4 linked regions of the Cricetulus griseus genome follow. The protein of the gene in region 3 purifies or fractionates together with the protein of the main gene of each other region. This does not show direct contact. Links are inferred from orthologs where the notes say so. Each region holds a gene or a part of one and is shown on either strand. Other genes may lie near its edges.

The links.
Region 1: the proteins of Dpf2 (region 3) and Smarcd3 purify together in Homo sapiens (affinity purification with mass spectrometry; 3 studies listed by BioGRID and IntAct, counting the BioPlex papers as one, with this or other methods). This does not show direct contact. The link is inferred for Cricetulus griseus from reciprocal best matches to the Homo sapiens genes DPF2 and SMARCD3.
Region 2: the proteins of Dpf2 (region 3) and Smarcd1 purify together in Homo sapiens (affinity purification with mass spectrometry; 9 studies listed by BioGRID and IntAct, counting the BioPlex papers as one, with this or other methods). This does not show direct contact. The link is inferred for Cricetulus griseus from reciprocal best matches to the Homo sapiens genes DPF2 and SMARCD1.
Region 4: the proteins of Dpf2 (region 3) and Smarcd2 purify together in Homo sapiens (affinity purification with mass spectrometry; 6 studies listed by BioGRID and IntAct, counting the BioPlex papers as one, with this or other methods). This does not show direct contact. The link is inferred for Cricetulus griseus from reciprocal best matches to the Homo sapiens genes DPF2 and SMARCD2.

Annotation. Positions count from the first base shown.
Region 1 is NC_048601.1:97,910,719-97,916,402, forward strand, and holds the start of Smarcd3 (SWI/SNF-related matrix-associated actin-dependent regulator of chromatin subfamily D member 3), read left to right. Parts: upstream 1-2,384; 5' UTR 2,385-2,536; coding exon 2,537-2,614; intron 2,615-5,324; coding exon 5,325-5,536; intron 5,537-5,684. UniProt on the Homo sapiens protein: Involved in transcriptional activation and repression of select genes by chromatin remodeling (alteration of DNA-nucleosome topology).
Region 2 is NC_048595.1:396,139,560-396,144,911, forward strand, and holds the start of Smarcd1 (SWI/SNF-related matrix-associated actin-dependent regulator of chromatin subfamily D member 1), read left to right. Parts: upstream 1-2,052; 5' UTR 2,053-2,235; coding exon 2,236-2,412; intron 2,413-2,604; exon of another isoform or gene 2,605-2,624; intron 2,625-3,020; coding exon 3,021-3,208; intron 3,209-3,487; coding exon 3,488-3,530; intron 3,531-3,629; coding exon 3,630-3,752; intron 3,753-4,198; coding exon 4,199-4,321; intron 4,322-5,327; coding exon 5,328-5,352. UniProt on the Homo sapiens protein: Involved in transcriptional activation and repression of select genes by chromatin remodeling (alteration of DNA-nucleosome topology).
Region 3 is NC_048596.1:53,430,175-53,435,503, forward strand, and holds the start of Dpf2 (zinc finger protein ubi-d4), read left to right. Parts: upstream 1-1,604; 5' UTR 1,605-1,722; coding exon 1,723-1,754; intron 1,755-5,329. UniProt on the Homo sapiens protein: Plays an active role in transcriptional regulation by binding modified histones H3 and H4. Is a negative regulator of myeloid differentiation of hematopoietic progenitor cells. Might also have a role in the development and maturation of lymphoid cells.
Region 4 is NC_048600.1:119,218,688-119,224,300, forward strand, and holds the start of Smarcd2 (SWI/SNF-related matrix-associated actin-dependent regulator of chromatin subfamily D member 2), read right to left. Parts: upstream 3,301-5,613; coding exon 3,085-3,300; intron 1-3,084. UniProt on the Homo sapiens protein: Involved in transcriptional activation and repression of select genes by chromatin remodeling (alteration of DNA-nucleosome topology).

The sequences.
Region 1 (5,684 bases), on a different chromosome or scaffold from region 3:
TCGGTGGGGGAGGTCAACGTGTGTGTGCAAATCCTTGTGGCTCCTGGTCCCTGTGACGGTGTGCCCGTGGCTGCCATTTGTGCAGTGTAATGATACCCTACCTAGATGGGTGGCTCGAGAAGGACCTTATCGATGGACCTGCCTGGTGCTCTCCATCTCTTTAGTACTGGTATCCACTCAGCCCGTGTCTCCTTCACCACCAAGACCACCCCTGTAATCTCTTGCTACCTCCCTGAGCTGGTACCCCTCCTTTGGCCTTCACACACCCCCAAAGCTGAGATGCCAGTCCACCTACTATCTTCTCCCCCCAAGAGGTAGCTCTAAAAGTTGAAAACACCCAACTTTTCCTAAAGCCTAGATGTGTCTACCCCATTCCCAGAACCTTGGAGGAGGCCTGGTCCCAGGCCCGGCTAGAAGTAGAGGTAGGGGTAGCACAAATCTTCAGGTATATGCCAGAGCACCAGCTGCACCCACTGGCCTAGGTTAGGCTTTTCTCGGCTTTGGTGTTACAGAGTTCCTGTACCCAGGCCTGGGGAAAACATGGGCCCAAGGCCAGGTTCTGCCCTCAGGAGTCACAAACCCAAATGCACCTGAAGCAAAGGACACCTGAGGCATTAGTCCAGCCCAGTTTATGGACAAGATAGTGATACCGGACGTTTGGAGAAGACTAAGATGTATTCCCATGAGTGAGGCCAGGAACCAGGGTCTGACCTGGGTCTTAAAGGGTGAGTGTGATGGGCCAGGCAGAGGGCAAGTGGAGGCATTACACGGTGGCAGAAGAGCCTCAAGGCTAGCAGATGAGGGAGGGTTCCCACGCAGATCATCACTAGAGCTACCTTTATAGCCCTGGCTGCTGGTCAGCCCACCGTGAACCAGTGTCTGCCACACCATCTGAACAAGGCGTTCTCTCTAAACCTTTCACAGTGACAGTGGGCGCCTGAAAGGGCAATGACAGCTAGGCACACTAGCAGGACCTGCAGGAAACTAAGGTGCTGGCCCAAAAGACTCCTGGGAGAACATTCCCTCTGTTGCTTGTCCTGGCCAATGAAGACATTCTGCAGGGCCAAAGGTTAGGCCCCCTCCGTGCAATGCTGGGTCCTGAGGGCTCAAATTTTAATGTGTTCCCACAAATTCCCTCAGGCCTTGTCCCTCCCTCATCCTAGTTCTGACAGCTGCCGTCCCAGGAAGCCCATAAGTGTGACCCTTAGTTGTCCCAAAGCCTGCGGGCTCCTCCTCCAGAAGGTGGGAACAGGCGTGGCTTCTGGCATGGGCGGGGCCTGAGCTCAGCCTAGGGATCTCCTTTCTGTTCTCCCTCCACTCGGGGGTCGGCCAGTTCTCTCCCTACGGTCCTTTCCGGGGCTCCCTCATCCTCTCCCACTCCACACTCCTGCTTTCTCTTCGGTCCTGGAGCGGACCTCAGCCCCCCAGCCCCCCTGGGTCTCCATGCCAGAGCCACCAAACCTTGTTTGCTCACTCTTTCCTCCTTACCCACCCAAGTACGCATCCCGGCTCGGCACGATTCCCCACACTCACTCTTCCTGTGCTCAGGAGCCCAGTCCATGTCCCCTTTTCGGAAAGACTTTCCCCGGTTGCCCTCACTTTCCCACACAGAGGCAAACAAAGACTCACGAGCCCAGAAATAGCCTCCCTCCGAGCTGGAAGGCACAGGCCGTGTCCTGCCCCGCGCGCACGCACGCTCGCACGCTCGCACGCGCAGGCACGGCGGCTCCCGTGGAGGGAGCACACCGGTGCCCGCACATAAACATCCACACCCTCGGCCGCTGCGCCGAGCCACAAAAGGGTGCAGACACGCGGAGCGCGAGGCACGGGCACACCCACGGCGGCCGGCCCTGGACGGCTGCAAGGCCCGCTCCCGGCTCGCCCGCCCCCCCGCCCCCGGATTCCTTCCAGCAAATGTTTCCCTACTTGGCCTGCCCGGTCCCTGGGGAAAGGGCCTCAGAAATGCTGCAGGAGCCACTTGGGGGAAGAAAGTTGGAACTGCCCGTTCTCTGCCTGGCCCTGCCGGCGAATTCCCCAACCGAGAAACTGTTTGTGGAGAAAGAAGGCAGGGTGGCGGGCAAGCCCCCCCCCGTCCCCTCCCTAGACTGTCCCTCCCCGTGCCGCCACCGGCGAGCCTCCGGCGGCCTGGGCGCTCGCTGCCCGCCTCGCAGCCGCTGGGCGGACCGGCCTGGCTCGCCGCGTCTCTGCGCCGTTTGGACCACGCGGGTGCACGGGAGGGCTGCTGTGTCCCCGCGCGTCGCAGGCAGACCCCGGGCCGCCGGACTATTTCTGTCTTATCAGTGCAGGAATGCGGCAGCCGCGGCGGCGGCGGCGGGCGGCGGCGGCGGGCGGGCGGCGGCGGCTTGGGCCGTGGGCCGTCAGGGCAGCCCTGAAGGGGCCCCCTCCCCACTCCGCTCGAGTAGAAGTGTGAGAGAGCCCAGCAGGACTCAGAGGGGAGAGTTGGAGGAAAAAAAGGCAGAAAAGGGAAAGAAAGAGGAAGAGAGAGAGAGTGAGAGGAGCCGCTGAGCCCACCCCGATGGCCGCGGACGAAGTTGCCGGAGGGGCGCGCAAAGCCACGAAAAGCAAACTTTTTGAGTTTCTGGTCCATGGGGTGGTGAGTGGGGGAAAGTTAGCGGGGGAGGGCGAGCGAGCTGGCTCGGGCTGAATGGAGGGATGATCGGGAAGGGCCGCCGGCGCGCTCCCGCTCTCCCACCCCTTTGGTTGGGGGGCGCACGGTCACGGCCCAACCCTGGGACCTTGCCGGCGCCCTGGCATCCGAACACGTCGCCAAGCGGTCGGCTGGGGATGGGCGCGCGGCGGCAGGGAAGAGAGGCGTCGGCTTGGGCTCTTGTCAGGGGCAAGGGGTGGGATGTGGGCACCGTGCCCCCCAAGAGGTGGGTCCCCTCTGTAGCTGACACGTCGCCCGTTCTTTTTTACTGGTGGGCCCAGGTGTTACCCCTGCCCTGGGGTGGGGGTGGGGTGGCGACTGGAACACACAACTAGGGTTGGGCTGCCTGTTGTCCTGTTCATCCACAGGGGCAGTGTCACTCTGACTGGGTCTGAGGAACTAGGAGCAGGTGACCCTGGAGGCACCTGAGAGCAAAAGCTCCCTGGCTGAGCAACCTCTGCAGCCTAGCAGGAGGGTCCTGAGGACTTGGCCCTGCTGTCAGAGCTAAGAGAGGCCTACTTAAGAGATGGACCCCAAGTTAAAGGGGTCAGGGGATCCCTTGGCAGGCTCAGCCACCAGAAGTTGATGACCTTAATACCTCAAAGGTGTGAAGGGATGGAGTTGGGGACATGAGGCCTAGAGATCAAAGGGTTAACACTATAGTGTCCTGCCACAGACATGTGAAGGCACACGAGGGACCTGAGGGTTCCAGGGACCTGAGGAGGGAGATGACTGGGTTGAGTCAGTGGAGAGCCTGGCTGTAAGGCGCTCCAGGCTTGGGGATATGTGATAGAGGGAAAAATCAGTCAAATTTACTATGGCCAAATTTGGTTGTGACTCCAAGAAGCACCTCCTCAGTGAAAGAGGCAAGGGCCCCCAAAACCTTGACCTCTTGTGATTGTGGTGCTGGTGGCAGAGCCCCTGGAAGCCCCTTCCTCTCAGTAAACCAGACAGTGTGGGTGGCCTTGATGAGTAGCAGGGCAGCTGATAGGGAGGAGGGCTTCCCTGTGGCAGCCTGCCCTCTAGCCACAGGGATCTCTGGGGTGCAGTTCCCAAGGCAGTCCTGTGGGTTAGTGGAGTTACCAGTCCTAACCTAGCTGCCTGGGGGAGTTGCTTTACAGAGTCCCATTCAGTGAAGAGGAGGCTGCCCATGTGGATTTGAATATGGCCAACTTGGAGGGTCAGTCCTTGAGTGATCAAGGCCCCCTTATTAGTAGTGGGGAATGACTAGGCCTGGCCTTCCACCCTGGTGGCACTGGTGGTATGAGTGACAGAGTCAGGTGGAATGGGGGAGGCAAACTCAGGAACTGGCCGGTTACACTACAGAAGAGATGGCCAGGGACAGCTGCTGGTAGAGGGTGGTAGAGGGTGGAGACCTTTGGTCTGAGCAGTCGGGGTTTCTTGGTTCTGGGGTGAGATGAGGAGTATTTTGTATTTGTTTATTGTGTATTGAGGCAGGGTCTCCTGTAGCCTAGGCCTCGAACTCACTATATAAGGGAAGATGGTCTTGCTCTTTCTGTCCCCACCTTGAGATTGGGATTACAAGTGCAGTTTCTTTGGTGCTGGGAATCGAACCCTGGGCTTCACATGTATTGGGCAAGCACTACACCAAGCTACATCCCTAGCCTGAGATGAGGGTGTGTAAATAGTAGGGTCTGCACCCCCACATCACCTCCTTGTTCCTGGTTAGCCCCTAAACCTCAACTCCCTTTCCAGGCCTGGACAAGTGGACTCTGGAACACCCCGCTTGCGTTTACACCTCTTCTGTTTTGATTGACTGCCCAGAGGTGGTGGCTGGGGAAATACAACCTGCCTCATTTCCCTCCAATTTGTACCCTTACTAGGATGGGGTGGGTACTGGGTTCTCTCTCTGATGTAGGCAGATGGGAGGGAGATGTGGCTTCCTTCAACCATCCCTGCCCTCTGGCAGCCCACTTCTAGTCCAGTTCCCCACTTGCCACTCGGAAAAGCTCAGACCCTCGGGTGCCTTTGCCCAGCCTCTTGTATCACCTTGGGAGAAATGAAATTAAGGAGGCAGACTAAGTCAGAGACCTGGAGTCAGCTGAAGGGGTTATTTGAACACCAAGGGTCCAAACCAGGGGTGCTGAAAGGGAGATGGGGGCTCACATACAAAGCCCCAGAAGTGGGCTGTAGAAAGCAGGAAAGCAGCGGGGAGCAAGGCCCGTCAAGGTGCTGCCTTTGTCGGGATGAACGGGGTGACCTTGGCGAGGTCGCTTTTTCTCTTTGAGCCCCAGTTGCCCCATCTGTCAATTGGGGATAAAAAAGACCGGCTCTGGCTGGCTTGCAGAAGACCGTGCCTGCCGATGTGAACATCCTTTGAAAGGTTGAAAGGCGCCATTAATATTCATTTTTGCGGTACCTTGCACGGCTCCGAGGCTCGGCTATGCCCTGGGCAATTGCCTGGCTTCAGTTAGCTTCCTGCAAGGAGCCGGCGAGCCCCCTCCTCCAGAGCCACGCAGATTCCCGCGCCCCCGCCCCTCCCACAATCACTCCCACTCCTCGCTCAGCGCAGGGTTACCAGCCCCGGGTCTTGGAGAGGGGCGGGGACACAGCACGCTGGCCTGGGGGTCGGGACCGAATCTGACCTGTCGGCGCCGGTTTCTGCTTCACCTCCCGCCCCACCCCACCCCCCCAGCGCCCCGGGATGCCGTCTGGAGCCCGAATGCCCCACCAGGGGGCGCCCATGGGCCCCCCGGGCTCCCCCTACATGGGCAGCCCCGCCGTGCGACCCGGCCTGGCCCCCGCGGGCATGGAGCCCGCCCGCAAGCGAGCAGCGCCCCCGCCCGGGCAGAGCCAGCCACAGGGCCAGGGCCAGCCTGTGCCCACCGCCCCCGCGCGGAGCCGCAGGTGAGTGCCCCCCCACCGGCGTGGAAGGGCGTGCAGGGGCGGGCAGGCAGAAGCCTCGGGGACCAGGTGGGTGAGTGATGGGTGTGGGAAGCTGAGGAAGGGTGTTAGCAGCGACCAAGTCATTCTGACTTGGATACTCTCTGGGGAG
Region 2 (5,352 bases), on a different chromosome or scaffold from region 3:
CCTAAGAGGCAGCCCTCCTCTACATCCCGTAAGACACCTGGCTGGTTAGCTTCCAGCTCAGGGAGAGGGGTACTGGAGCCTGACCTCCTGGCTTCTCTCTCAGAGGCCTTTGCAGAGGGCCACATCCATAAATTTTCTTATGGAACGCTCCTCTTCCCCACCTTCATTTGCTTCTCTCAACAACCTCATCTGCATTTTCTATTTCTATATGATACAGACTCTATATTGCTATATCTCTGTATATACTTTCCCTCCAGCCCTGTTTGTCTCCACCCCGTTCCCTCTTGTCTCTGAGAATCATCCTTCTACCCCAAGTGCTCCCTTTTGTTTCTACCCATTCCCTATCTCTGAATGCCTTTGCCTGTATAAAGAGTTGGACTCCCTCCGGTGTCTGTACTGTGTACACACATCCCTTCGAGAAGCACAAGGAGACGACACGCGCATTGTAACCTTCGCACTGTCTCGGTGGCGACATAAAGGAAGCTGTGAATTACAAGCTCTGCCTCTTTCTGGCCTCACCCTCAGCCCTCCCCACAGCCTTAACATACCCTCTTCCTTGTTCCACCTATCCCAATGCCCTTTGCCTGGCTGACCACAGCCTCGCCGGGGGAAGGGACTGCTGAGGAGGTAGCACCTAGCCAGGAATGGAGCTATGCTGGATGCTAAGCCAAGAGTGTTAGAGACAGAAGAGGCTGGGGATTGGTGACTCTTGCAGCTGGGGCAGTGGGTACCCACAGACAGAAGCGGAAGTCCTCATTCGGTGGCCTTTCTCTCCTCTGGGTGCCCAGTGCCCCTCCCTCACTTTGATAGCCAGGCCCACCACTTGTATTTTTTGGTGAGGCAGGGTTTGGTCATGTGAGGAAAGAGACAGGCCTAGAGGAGAAGTTGAGGGCTCTGCTGTTGTGTGTCCCTACCTTAAGGGACCACAAGTTGAAGAAGAGGGCCTCCCCACCCCTACCAGGCATTCTTCCCAGGCCAGAGCTCCAACCCTTTGCAGGACTTCTCTGACTGCACTGTCTGTCTCTTGGCCTCTAATCCCCAAAAAGGACTTGTGGACAGACCACCTGTGTGCGTTGGCCTGGAGCCAGAGAGTGGGGCTATAGCATCTCTGAGAACTCTTGGTTCTCTAGAGTTCTGTAGACAGCAGACTCCCCAGAAGGAAACAGGCACAAAGCTGAGAAGTATCCACTGGCTGGGGGACAGCAGGCGGGGCTCTGAGTGACGCATGCCTCTGGTCTAATAAACTGGGTTTCAACCATCTCCTCCTCAGTGTTGTTCTTTTTGGTTGAAGAGTTTATAAGGATTACCATTAGAATGCAGCCTGCCTTGAGGGCCATGTTGACTAGAGTAAGGAATTTGGGTAGTCCAGTGTGGTGGCTACACCTGTAATTCCAGCACTTAGGAGATGGAAGCAGGTATCTTTCATTACAGAGCGAGTGTACTACTAGGCTGGGCTACATGAGACCCTACATATTTGATCAGGTAAACACTGGTCCTCCTGGAAAAGGACAGGTTCAGGAATAGTTTGAATCACTGGGCAGTGAAAGAGCAATGAACAGCAACAGATTTCCAGGACCTTCGGAGAGGATTCATGGCCAAAATTCATTAATATCTGAAGGCAATGGTCTGAGATGAAGGGTGAAGTTCCCGCGTCGGAGAGTTATTGAGCCATTATCTGTGAAATGAAGCCGGGGCTACCAGCCAGGAGACCAGAATCTAGGATGGCTTTTCTTTTAATTTGCTGGTTTGTCTTTGCCAAGACATTTCCCTCCTTTGAGTTCAGCTTTTCCGTTTGTAAAACGAATAAACAGCACGTTTCTCTCTTTCGTACCCGGAGTTCGAGCAGTAGGAGAATGGAAAGCAAAGCAAACAGAATGCTTTGGAAAGGCAAAAGCACTGTGTTGAGATGACAGTGTCTCCAGCCTGCGGTGTGCGCTCGTCTCTTTCCAACGCCTTGTCGTCCTCCGCCCGCCTGGGGGCGCCCGCTCCCGTCACCTCTCTATCCGCACATCACTTCTCTATGGTGCCCCTCCTGTGCCGCGAAGGCGGGAGGGAGTGGTCAGCACGCCTTTTCCGCTAGTTGCCCCCTCTAGGCCTTAGTCTCGCTGCCCCGAGCCGCCCGTGCCCGCCGGCGGGCCGGGCCCACAAACAGCCCAGGCGCTCGGGGGGCGCGCGGGGGGCGGGGGGAGTTCCGGTTCCGGTTCTTTGTGCAGCTGCTGCGGCGGCTCCGGGAAGATGGCGGCCCGGGCGGGTTTCCAGTCTGTGGCTCCGAGCGGCGGCGCCGGAGCCTCGGGAGGGGCGGGCGTGGCGGCTGCTCTGGGCCCGGGCGGAACTCCCGGGCCTCCGGTGCGAATGGGCCCGGCGCCGGGTCAAGGGCTGTACCGCTCCCCGATGCCCGGGGCGGCCTATCCGGTGAGTGGGGCAGGAGGAGGGGCGCGTGGGCCGGGGGCGGGGCCGAGCGAGGGCGGAGAACTGACAGGGGTGAGGGAGAAGTGGGAGGGCCTCCCTTGGGAGGGGCTCGGGTCCTGGATGGAGGTGGGGGAAGCAATGCCGAGGAAGAGCGCGATTGGGGGAGGAGGTTAGCATCCTCACCTGCTCCCAGCGGCATTGTCTGCTTTTGAGGAGTGAGTGTGGAGCCAGGGTGGGTGAAGTGGGCCCGGAGGTGGGCAGCTCAGTGTCCAGAGGAACACTCAAGTTAGAGCTGCACGTTGAGGAGATAGTTAGCTGAGTAATAAAGTAAATGTAGAGATGTCTGGTGAGTCAGATCCCACATATTCCAGAAAATTTGAGTCTGATCTGGTTTTTAGACCCTATATTCTATGAAACCACTACCAGGCCTGAAGAAGGTCCAGTTACCGTATTTCAAAGAGGCAGAAAGAAGGCTGTGTGATTGTCCTCCACCCTACCTCCCCCACCCCCATCCTTGTTCATTCCAAAAATTCAGGCTTCCATCACTTTTCGTTTCTTGGTGGAGCTGTCAAGGAAAGGTATGACATCTCTGGGCCCTCTCCATTCTGTAGAGACCAGGCATGCTGCCAGGCAGCCGGATGACACCTCAGGGACCTTCCATGGGACCTCCTGGCTATGGGGGGAACCCTTCAGTCCGACCTGGCCTGGCCCAGTCAGGGATGGACCAGTCCCGCAAGAGACCTGCGCCTCAACAGATCCAGCAGGTCCAGCAGCAGGCGGTCCAAAATCGAAATCACAAGTAAGATGACGCCTGGGGTGAAGGAAAGAAGCTACTGGGAGACCTGTGAGGATTCAAGTGGTGGGAGTACTGAACCAGGAAGTGGTGGTGCTATGTCACCAAATGGTGCTGCAGAGACTCACCCTTGTGAAGGCTTCCTGGTGGAGGTGGAGAGGGAGTTGATGGTGATGAGAAAGCCGTTTTGCAGGCCTTAGCTGTGCCATCAACAAAGGTGCTGACAGCTTAGCTCATGTTCTGACAGTTCCATCCCACCCTGATAACAGTATTTATTCCGAACAGTGCAAAGAAAAAGAAGATGGCTGACAAAATCCTACCTCAAAGGGTGAGTGCAGGCTCTAGAGGTCTTCTTCTTGAAGATGTAGTGACTGAGAAAGTACAGGTGGTCAGCTCTAGGGCCCAATCGTATCTTTCTGTTCCTAAGATTCGGGAATTGGTACCAGAATCACAGGCCTATATGGATCTCCTGGCTTTTGAAAGGAAACTGGACCAGACTATTATGAGGAAACGGCTAGATATCCAGGAGGCTTTGAAACGTCCCATCAAGGTAACACAGGAAAGCACTGGGCAGTGGGTCAAGGGAGGGGACAGGAACCTTCTCCAGGCTTAGGATGAAAATTCAAAGGCACAGCATAGCCCTCCTTGGCATTTAAATTGCATCTTTCCCTTCCGCCTACAAACCAGGAATTACATTAGGAACATAAGAGTAGAGCAGCTGGCAGGGAAAGGGGCGGGGGAGCTTTTGATGTCTCTTGCACCAGAAATATACCCTGCCCATGTTTTTGCTATAACTACTTGCTACCTTGGGAACCTGCCACTTTGTATGGTTTTCTTCACCTGGTATCCCAGCATATTTATTTATGCTCAGGCTCAGGGCCTGTATTCTTCTAAGTGGAGTATTTATTCACCTATCATAAGCCAGCCTAGAAAACCTTTGTCTTTAACATCAAACTACTGAGGCTCCATCATCAATCCTGTTTCTGCCTTCCTCAGCAAAAACGGAAGCTGCGAATTTTCATTTCTAACACTTTCAATCCGGCTAAGTCAGATGCAGAGGATGGGGAAGGGACGGTGGCTTCCTGGGAGCTCCGGGTAGAAGGACGGCTCCTGGAGGATGTGAGTTGAAGGTCCACTGTGTTGGTGTTGTATTCAGGGTGGGAGCTCTTGGTGATGATCAATGTTGTATGGTCAGCAGGAAGCCTGACTGGTGCTTATAGGTCCTGCTGGGAGCTTCCGGAAGCAGAGGGGGGGTGGGGAGAGGGAGAAAGACCCTGTGTTCCCTGCACACAAAGACAATGGTCCTTTGTATCTGCTCCCACAGCTTCACTGGTATCAAATGGAAACCATTATTGTCCTGGGATCTGACTGGATGTTTACTCTGTCCTGGTGATGCTAGCCTTTGGATTTAGCAGCATCTGCAGATTACTTCTGTAGTCCCTCATCCCCACCTCCTGAGTCTATGCTTAGCATTTGAGGCCATGTTCCCTCTCTTAAGTCCTGGAAGTTATTTCTGTCTTCCCAGCTTTCATTGGAGATACCACAGTTTAAGTATGATAGAATTCTCCAAAGGCTTGGGCTCTTTGTTGCTCTAAGGGGAGTATCAGATCAGTGAGAGCCCCCACACTTCCCACCCAGCAGCTCCTTAGGGAGGCTCATTTTTCACTCATCCCCTTGCTCTCTGGCGCTATTTTTAACCATGTGCAGGTGAGCTCATTTAAATGCATTTTTGCAGGAGAATCAGAATCTTCTCTGCGAAGGTCCAGTCTGTCTGCTGTCATGTCTTCTGCCCAGATAAAGCCATTTTTTGTTCTACTGCTTTTTCCTGTGATTCATTTCCCCTCTTTAGTGGGGTTTTTCTCTGTTCAGGTGTGCTTTGTTATGTTAACCTGTTTGGCTTAACCTGCCTCTGCCTCTCCACAGTGGTAAGTCAGAGGTTCTGTCCTTGTTACAGTACTGCTGCCACCATGGCTGACTTAATGACCAGCCACTCTGCCATATTCAGAAGATATTTCTGAGGTTTTATTTCCCATTGGGGTTAGAGGTTCCTTTTTAAAGAACTATGTCTTGGGGATTCTTTCTGGCCTCTTTTCTAACATGACACCCTCCATCTCTCTTCTTCTAGTCAGCCTTGTCCAAATACGATGCCA
Region 3 (5,329 bases):
GAGCCATCTCTCCAGCCCGCTGGCTATTCTTATAGAGGACCTGGGTTCAGTTTATGTGGTACTATGGATCAAACCCAGGACTTCTTGCATGCTAGGTTGGCACTCTAACAATTGAGCTACATCTTTGCCCTTCAATTAATGCTATAACAGTTTTTATATTGCAAAAGATTGAGATGAACTAGTAAGAGAATGGACAGAAATTCTGTACTTGAGAGTGGATGCAATAATAAGACTTTGCATTTTCTAACAAAAAGAGATGCGATATACAATTGGCCCTGTGTATCCATGGGTTCTACATTCATGAATTCAGCCAACCATGGGTACAATATACTTTTAAAATTGCAGGAGACTGGAAAGATGGCTCAGATGTTAACAAGAGAATTAGCTGCTCTTCCAGAGGACCAGGGTTCAATTCCCAGAAACCACAGGACAGCTCACAATCATCTATAACTTCAGTTCCAGAGGATCTGATGCCCTCTTCTGGCCTCATCCTAGCACCAAGCACACATGTGCACAGACATACCTGCAAACAAAACATAGTTTAAAAATTAAAAGAAAATTACACCTGAGGGCTGGAGATAGTGGTTAAGAGTATTTGCTGCTCTACCAGAGAACACATATGGAATACATATATACACATATACACAAATCTTTTTTAGTTAGTTTGTTTTTTGAGACAGGGTTTCTCTGTGTAGCTCTGTGGGCCAGGCTGGCCTTGAACTCAGAGACTTGCCTACCTCTGTCACCTGAGTGCTGACATTAAAGGATGCACCATATTGTCCAGCTTGAAATTTCGTCTCAAAAACCAAAACAAAAAATACAAGTAAAAATTTAAAAGACAGTGTACCATAGGGACACTTGACATTGTTGGCTGTCCAATAATGCCTCTTTGTATTTTAGGACTTCATTTCGATTGTGGTATTTGAGGGATCTGCCTCCTCCATTTATCTACATTCATCACATTGGAAATTTTCACTGGTGTGAATGTGCTTAGGAATATAGCAAGCAAAGGGTTGGTGGGATGTCTCAGCGGCTAAGGGCACTTGCCACCAAGCCTGACAACCTTGACTACCCCCAAACCCACAAAGTGGAAGGAAAGAACGGACTCTGCAAATTGCTGTCTGATCCCCACACATGTACCACGGCACATACACGCACACACGGAGAAGCATACACACTAAAGGAAAGCATTATTATTATTTTAAGAGAGAAGAGGTAGGTACCAGTGAAGTTCAAGGACGAGGATTACTGCCAGGAAAGTATGGTAATTGCCAGAACGCGGGAGTCAGGCCAACGAGCATCCTACCCTGGGAGTTCACTTTTAAAACGGGTCGATGTTTGGGAACACTGGTACCTAGTGGCTTTTCACTGCCCAACTAACTGCCGCTCCCTTGCGGCTAACAGTCGCCACCTGTCTCCGTAGCCTTTTCGCCTACCTTTCTCACTTTCCAGCCACGGCAGACCCCCTCTCTGAGGCTCCGCTAAACGGAGGAGGCGGATCCTCTAGACGGAGAAGCAGCGTGCGCGTTCGTCTCTCCAGCCGCGCCTGCGCATTGGGCTCCCTCGCGCTCGTTCCCAGCTCTTGAGCGGGTGGGCTAGTGCGTGCGCGCACCCTCGGTTGCGCCTGCGCAGAGAGTCGAGTACTGTGTGCCCTGAGTAGGCTTAGCGCCTGCGCGTTGCGGGCTTCGGGGCCTCCCGGCCTGAGGGAGAGGAGCAGGGAAGATGGCGGCTGTGGTGGAGAATGTAGTGAAGCTGTGAGTGGTCTTTCTTTCTTTCTTTCTTTTTTTTTCCCTCCCTCCCGGACCAGAGGTCATGCAGAGGGGCCTGGGAGTAGAGACGGGGGTGCGGGAGGAGACAAGACAGAGGGAAGGACGTGCCCGGGAAGTCCTTGCTGTGCGACTCCTGGTAGGGAGGGCAACAGAAGACTCCGGAGAAGACGCCAGGCTTCTTTAGGAAACTTGTGGAGGCCGGGAGGGGGCACACGGGAGCCCCTGACGGGCGTCCTCCTCGCGAGCCGAGTCCCGAGCGTAGCTACGGGCTGTGACCGAGGGGCGCACGGTTCTCGGCCCCTCTCCGGAGACGCGTCAGTTTCGCGGAGCCAGCCGAGGCCGAGCGGCCCTGGAGGTCGCGGTCCCTTCCCCGCCCACCGCCCTCCCTGGGGTCCCGAGACTTGAGCAGTCCGGTGACATTAACTAGGAAATCCGGAGTGCCGGAGACTAAGTGTTCTTGGAAAGAATTGATCCAAGAGTAGATAGATCCGGCAGGGAAAGAACTCCGGGGAGCGGGGAACCAGACCGGAACCCCCCTGATCTCCTAGCAGGAGTCCCTAGGTGGGCGTTCTCTGTACCGTAGATGCCATTGTGCTGAAGTTAACGGTTATTGGGAAACACTGGGAATGGGGACTGGCCTCTTAGCCGCTTCCCGTGAGTTACAGATGTTTGGGGTTTTGATGTGTTTCATCCTCCTTCCTCCTCGAAGAAGAATCTGAGCGACTTTTGGAATGGGGTGGTTAATGCCCATTAGACTTAAAAAATGACCTTCTCTTTAATAGCCATGTTGGGCGTGATAGAAGGGGAGAAAAATTGAAGTATTCAGCTGTCCAGTCAAAGCTTTTGGATTCTGAATGACAAAGTAAAGGTTTGGGAACTATTCTGGGGGACTTTTCACAGCTTCTCTCGCCCGTCTTTGTCGTGGGCAGACTCCCAGTCGTCGCAAGAGCCCCCTCCCCCCGTTAAGGTTAAGTTGCTTCTCCCCCGCCGCCGCTTGGAGCCCTTTTCTTCGAAAATGCTTTCCCACTTCCATTAAGCTAAGTGCCTTCTCTTGTGACTTTTTTTTTTTTTTTTTAACTTGCTTTTGGCTTTATCCTGCTGCTTCTTTCAGCCACCCCTCCTCCCGGCACGATTATCTTTATTTCTGATCTGCCCACTCCAGTTTCCCCAGCTCTCTTCAGTCTGACATCTCCCTCAATTCGTAAATGAGGCTGTTGATTTAACATTTTTATAGTTCTCCTTCTGGACTCAGATGTTAGTTCTTTGTTACCCTGCCTTTTTCTTTGTTGACTTTCCCTATGCCATTGGGGAGGGGGGTAGACAAGTTTCCCGTGGAAAAAGGGTCATTGCTTTTACCCCTGGAAAGCTTACTGTTATAGAGGAATGTGTTTGCCTAAGCTTTCAGAATTACATGTTAATGGAACTGTTTGTGTTGAAAGATGGTCTTCCAGAAAATGGAATTGCCAGCCCATGGGGGGGGGGTATGGATTTTAAGTGGTGGCTGCCCACTGGTTCCTGAGTGTCAGTGAGATGCCAGCGTGCTTCTCCCCAGTTGTATAGAAGACTGTGGACCACCACTATTACGTGCCTCCTCAGAGCTTCCCCTTACAGAGGGGCTTCTCATACCATTCTCACCCTGAAAGATGCTCTTCTGGTGCTATTTATTATTATTATTATTATTATTATTATTATTATTATTGTGTGCTTAAGTCTTCTGTCAGCTGACATCACACATTGAGGGCAAGACCACTGGCTCATCTTTTCTTTCATTTTTCCTGTGAGAAGACTTCCATTTTAATGATCTGTTTTTCTCAACTATGATGTCGTAATTGAAATAGTCTTTATGGTGATCTTATTAGGATAAATACTACTCTAAAATAAACATGGCTGCTAACTAGTTTTAAAAACTTCATGAGTTAGGTAAATAGAATGTCCTTAGGTCCATAGAATAATAGAAGCTTGAAATTTTTTTGCCACAGGAGTCTTGACTTTATAAGTATACTCTCCCCTTTTGCTCTCTTAAAACACACACATACCTTGAGTGTGCTCTGGTATGTACGTACATTTCATTTCTGGCCATCTTACCTACTAGACCACTTGTTCCACCTTCTAGAGTTGCACCTAACCTGCAAGAGCCCTGACCAGACATCTCAATCTCCTTGCTCTGGCTTTACAGCCTTTAGCCCCGTGGGCTGGTCCTTCCTTCCGTTTGACTTCCAGTGTCAGTATCAATTCCCATCAGCAGAAACAAAGGAGCTGCTGCACTCAGCCTTGTTTATCCAATTTTCCTGTGTGGTAAGGACGTGGCTGCCTCCTAAAGGCAGCAAATGTGAGCTTGCTCTCTTTCTGTGCTGTGCTTTCCAACACATTCGTACCTTAATTACAGTCATTACTGCTCATTGAATCGAGTCAGACTGTACTTGTAGTGTTGCTGTGTGTGGTGTGTGTCCTTTTCATTTGCTGGGCACAAACTAAGCTATGCAGTGGTCTATTGTGAATGCTCAGTGAGGGTCCCCATCAGATTCTACATCAGGACTTGTTGGCATAGCTTTAGTGGTAGGTATTAGCCAGAGAGACCTACTCCCGCCTGCTTTCCATGCCTCCTTACTCAGAATCCTGGTTGGTTAGAGCTCATTTAGTGTAACCGCATCGATCTGAAAGAGAGGATTGGTGGTCCACACAGGTTAACTGCATGTCTGTGTCTATGTGGTAACTGTAGCCAAACCAGTCTTTTTACTCTCAAATCCATCCTGATGTGATCCAGACATCTTCATGGGTAATTCGGATGCTATGGGAAAGAAGTCTCCTCTGTACTCAGTATATCTGTTTTTAAGGTTGATTGAAGGCTAGGGATATAACTCAGTTGGTAGAGTACTTGCTTAGCATACAAGTGATCCTGGTTTGATTCCCTAACAGCACATAAAACTGGCAGGAAAATCAGAAATTCAAGGTCATTGTTAACTAACTGCATACTGGGTTTGAGAGTAGTATGAGCTAAACAAGCCTCTACTTTTTAAAAAATGAATATTTGGCTGGGATATAGCTCAGTGATAGAATACATCTAGCATTTAGGAGGTCCTGAGTTTGAGCCCCAGAATAACAACAAAAAGGCTGATTGATTAATTATAAATATAAGTCCTTACAGTTAATTTACTCTCCTTTACCAAAACAGTGTTGGGTCATTGAACATGCTTGCAGTTTCCTATTTTCTTAAATACTTAGGGAATCCTCTTCAGATTTCAAATGGATTTTCCAGGGCCAGAAAATTCTGGGTGTCAGCTGTGTGGCAGTTAGGAAGGGCCTGAGATGGGCCTTCTAGTGTAAACAGGCTTTCTGTTAGTACTGGTGCTTTGTAAAGGCTTTGAGGGACTTGGGGACTTTCTCCACCTGGAACACTGCAAATTCTTTTTTTTTTTTTTTTTTTTAAAGAAATGGTTGCACCATGTAACTCACTCTGGTGGGTCTCAGACTCACAGAGAGCCTCCTGCCTCTACCTCCTGAACACTGACTGGGTTTAAAGGTGTGTACCACCAAGTCCAGCTCAATGATAGTTTCTTGTA
Region 4 (5,613 bases), on a different chromosome or scaffold from region 3:
TCAGGGTTGCCACAGCTGTAAGACCCTCCACCATCATCCAAGACTTCAGGTTTTCCTAGGGTAATTGCAGCTATAAGCTGGGGTGTTCAGTGCCCCCAAGCTCTTCACTGAAGTTCATAAAGCCTGTTCTACTGCTGAGCCCTCCAGGAAATCCCAAGTCGAAGCAGCCCAGGCAGGCCTGGAATAGGCCCCACCCAGACATCTGCTCCAGACTTCTGGGGCTCAGGCTCCAGGCCCCCAGCTCACCCAGAACCTCAGGGGAAGGCTGCTCACAATTCAAGTCCCAGTTCCCCCTGGCCAAGCTCCACACCTGAGCTTTGAAGAGCCAGAAACTCCTCCTTAAAAACTCAGGTTAGAAAACAAAACAAAGTCACAGCCATAGCCACAGCTTCACAGCCTCTGCCTGCTTGTCCTACCACAGGGGTAGGTGGGCCTGGTTCAGTCCCCTGGACCCCAAAATGCAGTAACTGCTTCTACTTGGCCAAACACCCCACACTCTAGACTTGATTCTGTAACCACCAAGGAGACAATGGAGAAGGCTAGGCCTGACTCTGCCATCTCTGGGTAGGAATCTAGGGCTCAAGTAAGCATGTTCTGCTCTGACCTAAAGCCTGTAGCTCTGGTCCTCAGATGGCTGCCTGGGCCTAAGAGCCTCATTTGGAGAACATACCCTGACCCTATGAACAGAAAGTATTCTAAACTCTGAGCTGAGTGAACTCAGCAATAATGCACAGTAGGTCTCTTTGTTTTGTTTTTAATTATGGTGTTAAGCCCTTCAGCTGACTGTACTCCAAGACTAGATAGAATAACCCTCTAGAGGTAGGTAGCTGGGCCATTACTTTTGTTTCAACAAGCTCCCCAATATGCCCAGCTTGAGCATGCAAATCCTCGCTCACCCCCAAGGGCTCTAACCAGGAGGAGCCCCTTTGTCTTCAGACCCCAAGCCCTTTTGAAGTTAGGTACCTGGACATGAAAAGAAGCAAGCAGTTTCTCCTTCAAAGTCAACCAGTGTTAACTGGATTCTCTTTACCCCACCTTTTCCTCTGCCCTTCCCCAGAGAAAGAAGAGGAGGGGAAGAAATGAGAAAGAAGAAGGTGGTGATGTCAACCTGGTTGGTATGGGATGTCCAGACTTAAGGCCATCTTCTTTCTCACACCTAGTAGCCACAGGTATTCAGCTGGCCAGCTTGGCCTCAACATAGACCCCAAGGCGCTACTCTTTACAAAATATGGAGGAATCCATCTTCCTATCCTCACAGGGGCTTTCCCAAGAGCAGATTTTCTATCAGCTGCATGCCAAAGAAACTGGTCTACATAGTGAGTTGGGGCAGCCAGGACTACACAGAAAGTCAGACAAAAAAAAAAAAAGCAAAGAGACAGATCTCCTCAGTGCCTATAGGAAGCTTCCAGATCAGTTCCAAGCAAACAGGGCCAAAGGCTACTAAAATCACTGACATCAGTGATACACTAGGCCCATGAATCTCCAAAGAAAGCAACATGGGAAAGATAAACCCCAACTAGTATCCTTGGGACCAAGTCTATCTCTGTTCATAGCCAAATTCTTCATTTTCTTTTGAGAGAGGAGAAATGAAGAGTTGGGGGGGGTCACTATCCCCACCCCCACTCCCAGTTAGGTACCTCCTTAGAAATCTGATTCCTGGTAGAATATGCACTCCATGAGGATCTATTTCTGAGGCCTCTACTCTACCTACAGACACCAGCAGAGGACAGAGCAAACTATAGTGCACACCTTCAGACATTAGTAACAAGGAAGCTGTGGCTCACAGGCTGAGATACCTATGGTCTTGTCAAGAACCCGGAGAACAAGTAAAAGCAAAGAGGTTGGGTGTGGTGGTGCATGGCTGTAATCCCAGCACGTGAGAGGCAGGAGGAGTTCAAGGCCAGCTTTTTTGGCTACACAGCCAGCCTGGGCTACATGAGACCCTGTATCAAAAAAAAAAAAAAAAAAAAAGGGGCAAGGATACTGGGAAAGGATGAACACAATCCCCAGGCACTCTGGGAAATGGGGTGCAGCTCTCTGATATAGCAATTGTCTGCCATGTGCAAAGCCTTGCCTGGGTTCCATGCTCAGCACCAAACTGCATTAAGTAAAACATAAAATCCTCAAAACATCCTGGAGCAACTTGCACCAGAGCATTGGGGAAGGAGCCCCACATGCCGGGTCAGGCTGAGTTCACAATGCACTGACCACAGAGTCGCACCCCCGTTCCTCAACGGGCCTTTGAAGCTGCAACCTGAGACTGACTGCTCTTTTTCCAGCTAGAAGGCTCAGGGCAGTGCCCTCTGAAGCAGCCGATGCTGCTGCAGACTCCTGCAGCCCCCGCCTAGCAGTATTCCACAAAGCCTCTCTGCTCCTCCAAACGTAACTACTGGACGCTGGCACTAAATGGAAAGCCCATGCTAGACCGTATCTGGACTAGTCTGTTACTGGGACTGGGCCTTCTTCAGACCTGGCCGCCGCTGCCACTAATCTAACCTGGAGCCATCTGGGCCCCCTCTCCTTAGTCCCCCCCATGGCGTAGGAAGCCAGGCTTCCTTCCCCCTCAACTAGCAGCTGGGAGCCATCTCAGACACTAACGCTCTGCCAGTTCCCAACTAGGGAAAAAAAAAAAGCCAAGGCAGAGTTGCAGTGGGACCGAGGCCAACGAAAGGATAACCCTGTTTTCTCTTCCAAAATTTTCTCACGTCTCGGGTCACCCCCGGACCCCGACTCCGGGACCTGCTTTAGACTCTTTCAACCCGATTGCACACAATTCTCCAGATCCCACGGAGCCTACATCTCTCAGTTACTCAGAAGCCGTGAGCCGCGGAGCCCCGGGACTCTTGTAACTGCTCGAGCGCTCCACCGGAGAGCCGCGCTCACCCTTTCCCCGACCCTGCCTGCCCCTCTCTCTCTAGCCGAGGGACCCCGGCCTGGCGCGCCACCAGCTCGCGGCAGTTCCTCCTGCAGCGTCCCCGGAGCCGCCCGTCCAGGGACGACTCCTGCCCGCCCTCACCTGCGGCCCCGGGGAGACCCAGCAGGCGCCCTCGCGGCGGCGCCCGCCCGCCCGCCCGCCCGCCTCACCTGGTACTGCGCCGCGGGGCCCGCGGGGCCCATGGGGCGGAAGGCGGCGGCCGCCGGGACCCCCATGCCTCCAGAAGGCCCCGGGCCTCTGAGCGCCGGGTTGGGCAGCATGCCGGGTCCCGCAGGCGGAGGAGGTGCACCCAGTGCCGCGGCAACGGCGCCGCCGCCGGGGCTTAGCGGGGGCAACGGGAACCCGCCCGCGCCACGGCCCGACATCGCTCTGTCCCGTCCCGCGGTGCAGCGATCCGGCCTCCGGGCTCTGTGTGGAGTCCGCTCCGCGAGCTGCGTTCCGCGATCCGGGACTTCGCGATTTTACTGCCGGGTTCCGGGGTTTTCTATTCCAAGTTCGCAAGTTCTTCACAGACCGACCCGCTTTAGGACCCGCGGCCCCACTGACTCCGCTCCTGCCGGGGAGACTCCAGATCCGGGATGTGCCGCAAGCCCGCCGGCCTCTCCCGGCCCCCGGAGGTTTCGCCGCCCGAGTCCAGTTACCCAGAGGCGGTTACGCGCTCCCGGCCCCGCCCAACCCGGGCCTGCGCCCGGCCCCGCCCCTTCCCAGCAGCCCAATCGAGACTATCTCTTCAAATCCCGCCCCTCGCGAGACCCGCCTCAAGCAGGCACCGCCCATAACTGACGGCCACAGAGCCCCGCCCTTTGGGACCGCCTCTTCCCGGAGGAGCCGGAGCGGAAGCTGCACGCGGAAGCGCTGGGAAAGGCGCGGGGTCAGAGCTCAAAGGTCACCGTCCTAGGTCCTCCGCGGTTAGGTGCTGGCCGCTCGCTCCTCAAGTGCGGCTCCCTCCGCGAGGTGCCGGGGGGGGGCACGCCTCCAAAACTGTCCTTCCGGGTCAGCCCTAAAGCCAGGCGACGGCCGCCGCTCACCCAGAGCCCTCGCCGGCGCCCGAGGGTGGGAGCCGGTGGGATAGGGCGCTGTCTGCCGTCGCCAGCACCCCGCCCCACACACACCCCAAGAAACCGCCAGGGACATGCGTGACTCCAGACGTGACCCCGCTGGGTAAAAGTTTGACTTGGCCCGGTGCGGAGGTTTTGTTTTGTTTGTTTTCCGAGACAAGCGTCTTGAGTGACAGCCCAGGCTGTGCAACTCCCCTTGTAGACCAGACTGGCTGTGACGCGCCGCAGTCTCCCTGCCCCTGCCTACCAAATGCCGAATCACAGGCGCGCACCGCCACCGTCGGCCCACAGAAAGTGAGTTTAGGTGAAGGAGTTTTGCATGCCGAGAAAACTCCAGGCAGTGAAGCAAGTTTTCTCCAGTTCATAGAGGACTTAGTTTTGAAGAGTTCCTGGCCTTTCCAGAAACCACTGGTTTCGGCTACGGAATGGACCGCCTACCCTCAGCTAATGTGGGATCTCCTCCCCACAGTACAGAATCGGTGCTGCTTAACTTTAATGAGCACTGAAAAATCCTCAGATTTGGGTTGGGGGATGTAGCTCAGGTTTAGAGTGCACTTGCCAAGCATGCATTAAGCCCTGGACTTGAACCCCGGACTAGATAAACAGTGCACGGTGGTGCATGCCGGTAATCCCATTACACATGAAGGAGTGGCAGGAGGGCCAGAAGTTCAGGGTCGTTCTCAACTGCATCACCAGTTGGGACTAGAGTTACAGGAGACCCTGTATCAAAAGAAAAGTCAAAATGTGAACCTTCTTGTTAAAATGTGGTTTGTGATTCAGTGAAGTGGGGTCAGGGCCTAAGATTCTTTATTTCTAGCAAGGTCCTTTTTAAAGAATTGCTGTTATTGTATGTGTGAGAGTGTTAGCAGGGTGTATGTGTACCGCCTGCTAGCCTGGTGCCTGTAGAGGATGTCAGAGCCCCTGCAGCCGGAGTTGCAGATGGTTGTGAGCCAGCCACCTTGTGGATGCTGGGAACCAAACGCCAGGAGCAGGAGCAGCCAGCGAGCACTCTTATTGGCCACCGCCTTGTTTTCATTCCCAACGCATTGCTTCCTTTATACTCTTCAGATCTTTTTTTTTTTCTTTTTTGAGATTAGAGTATCACTGTATAGCCTTCGATAGCCTGGGACTCCCTATGTAGACCAGGCTGGACTTTTTTTTTTTTTAAGATTTATTTATTATGTACACAGTGTTCTACACGACAGAAGAGGTAACCAGATCTCATCACTGATGGTTGTGAGCCACCATGTTGTTGCTGGGAATTGAACTCAGGCCCTCTGGAAAAGCAGGCAGTGCTTTTAACCTCTGAGCCATCTCTCCAGCCCCAGGCTGGACTCTTTAACTCGAAGAAATCATCTTCCAAGTGCTGGGATTAAAGGCCCGGATTCTAGTACACCCATCTCTCTTCCTATCTTTTTCTCTAGTGATAAACTCTGCTGCAGATCCTGCCTCTTGGCCATCTGAGACACTGCCTCCTTTCTCCCCAGAAGCTGTCAGTCTGGGAACAGGCCACTAAAATCATTAGTCACTGAATCATGGTTTCTCCCACGCCTGCAAGGTAGAAAGCTAGTGTCCATTTCTGCCCTTTTGTAACTGCAATAACTCTCCACGAAGAGCAAG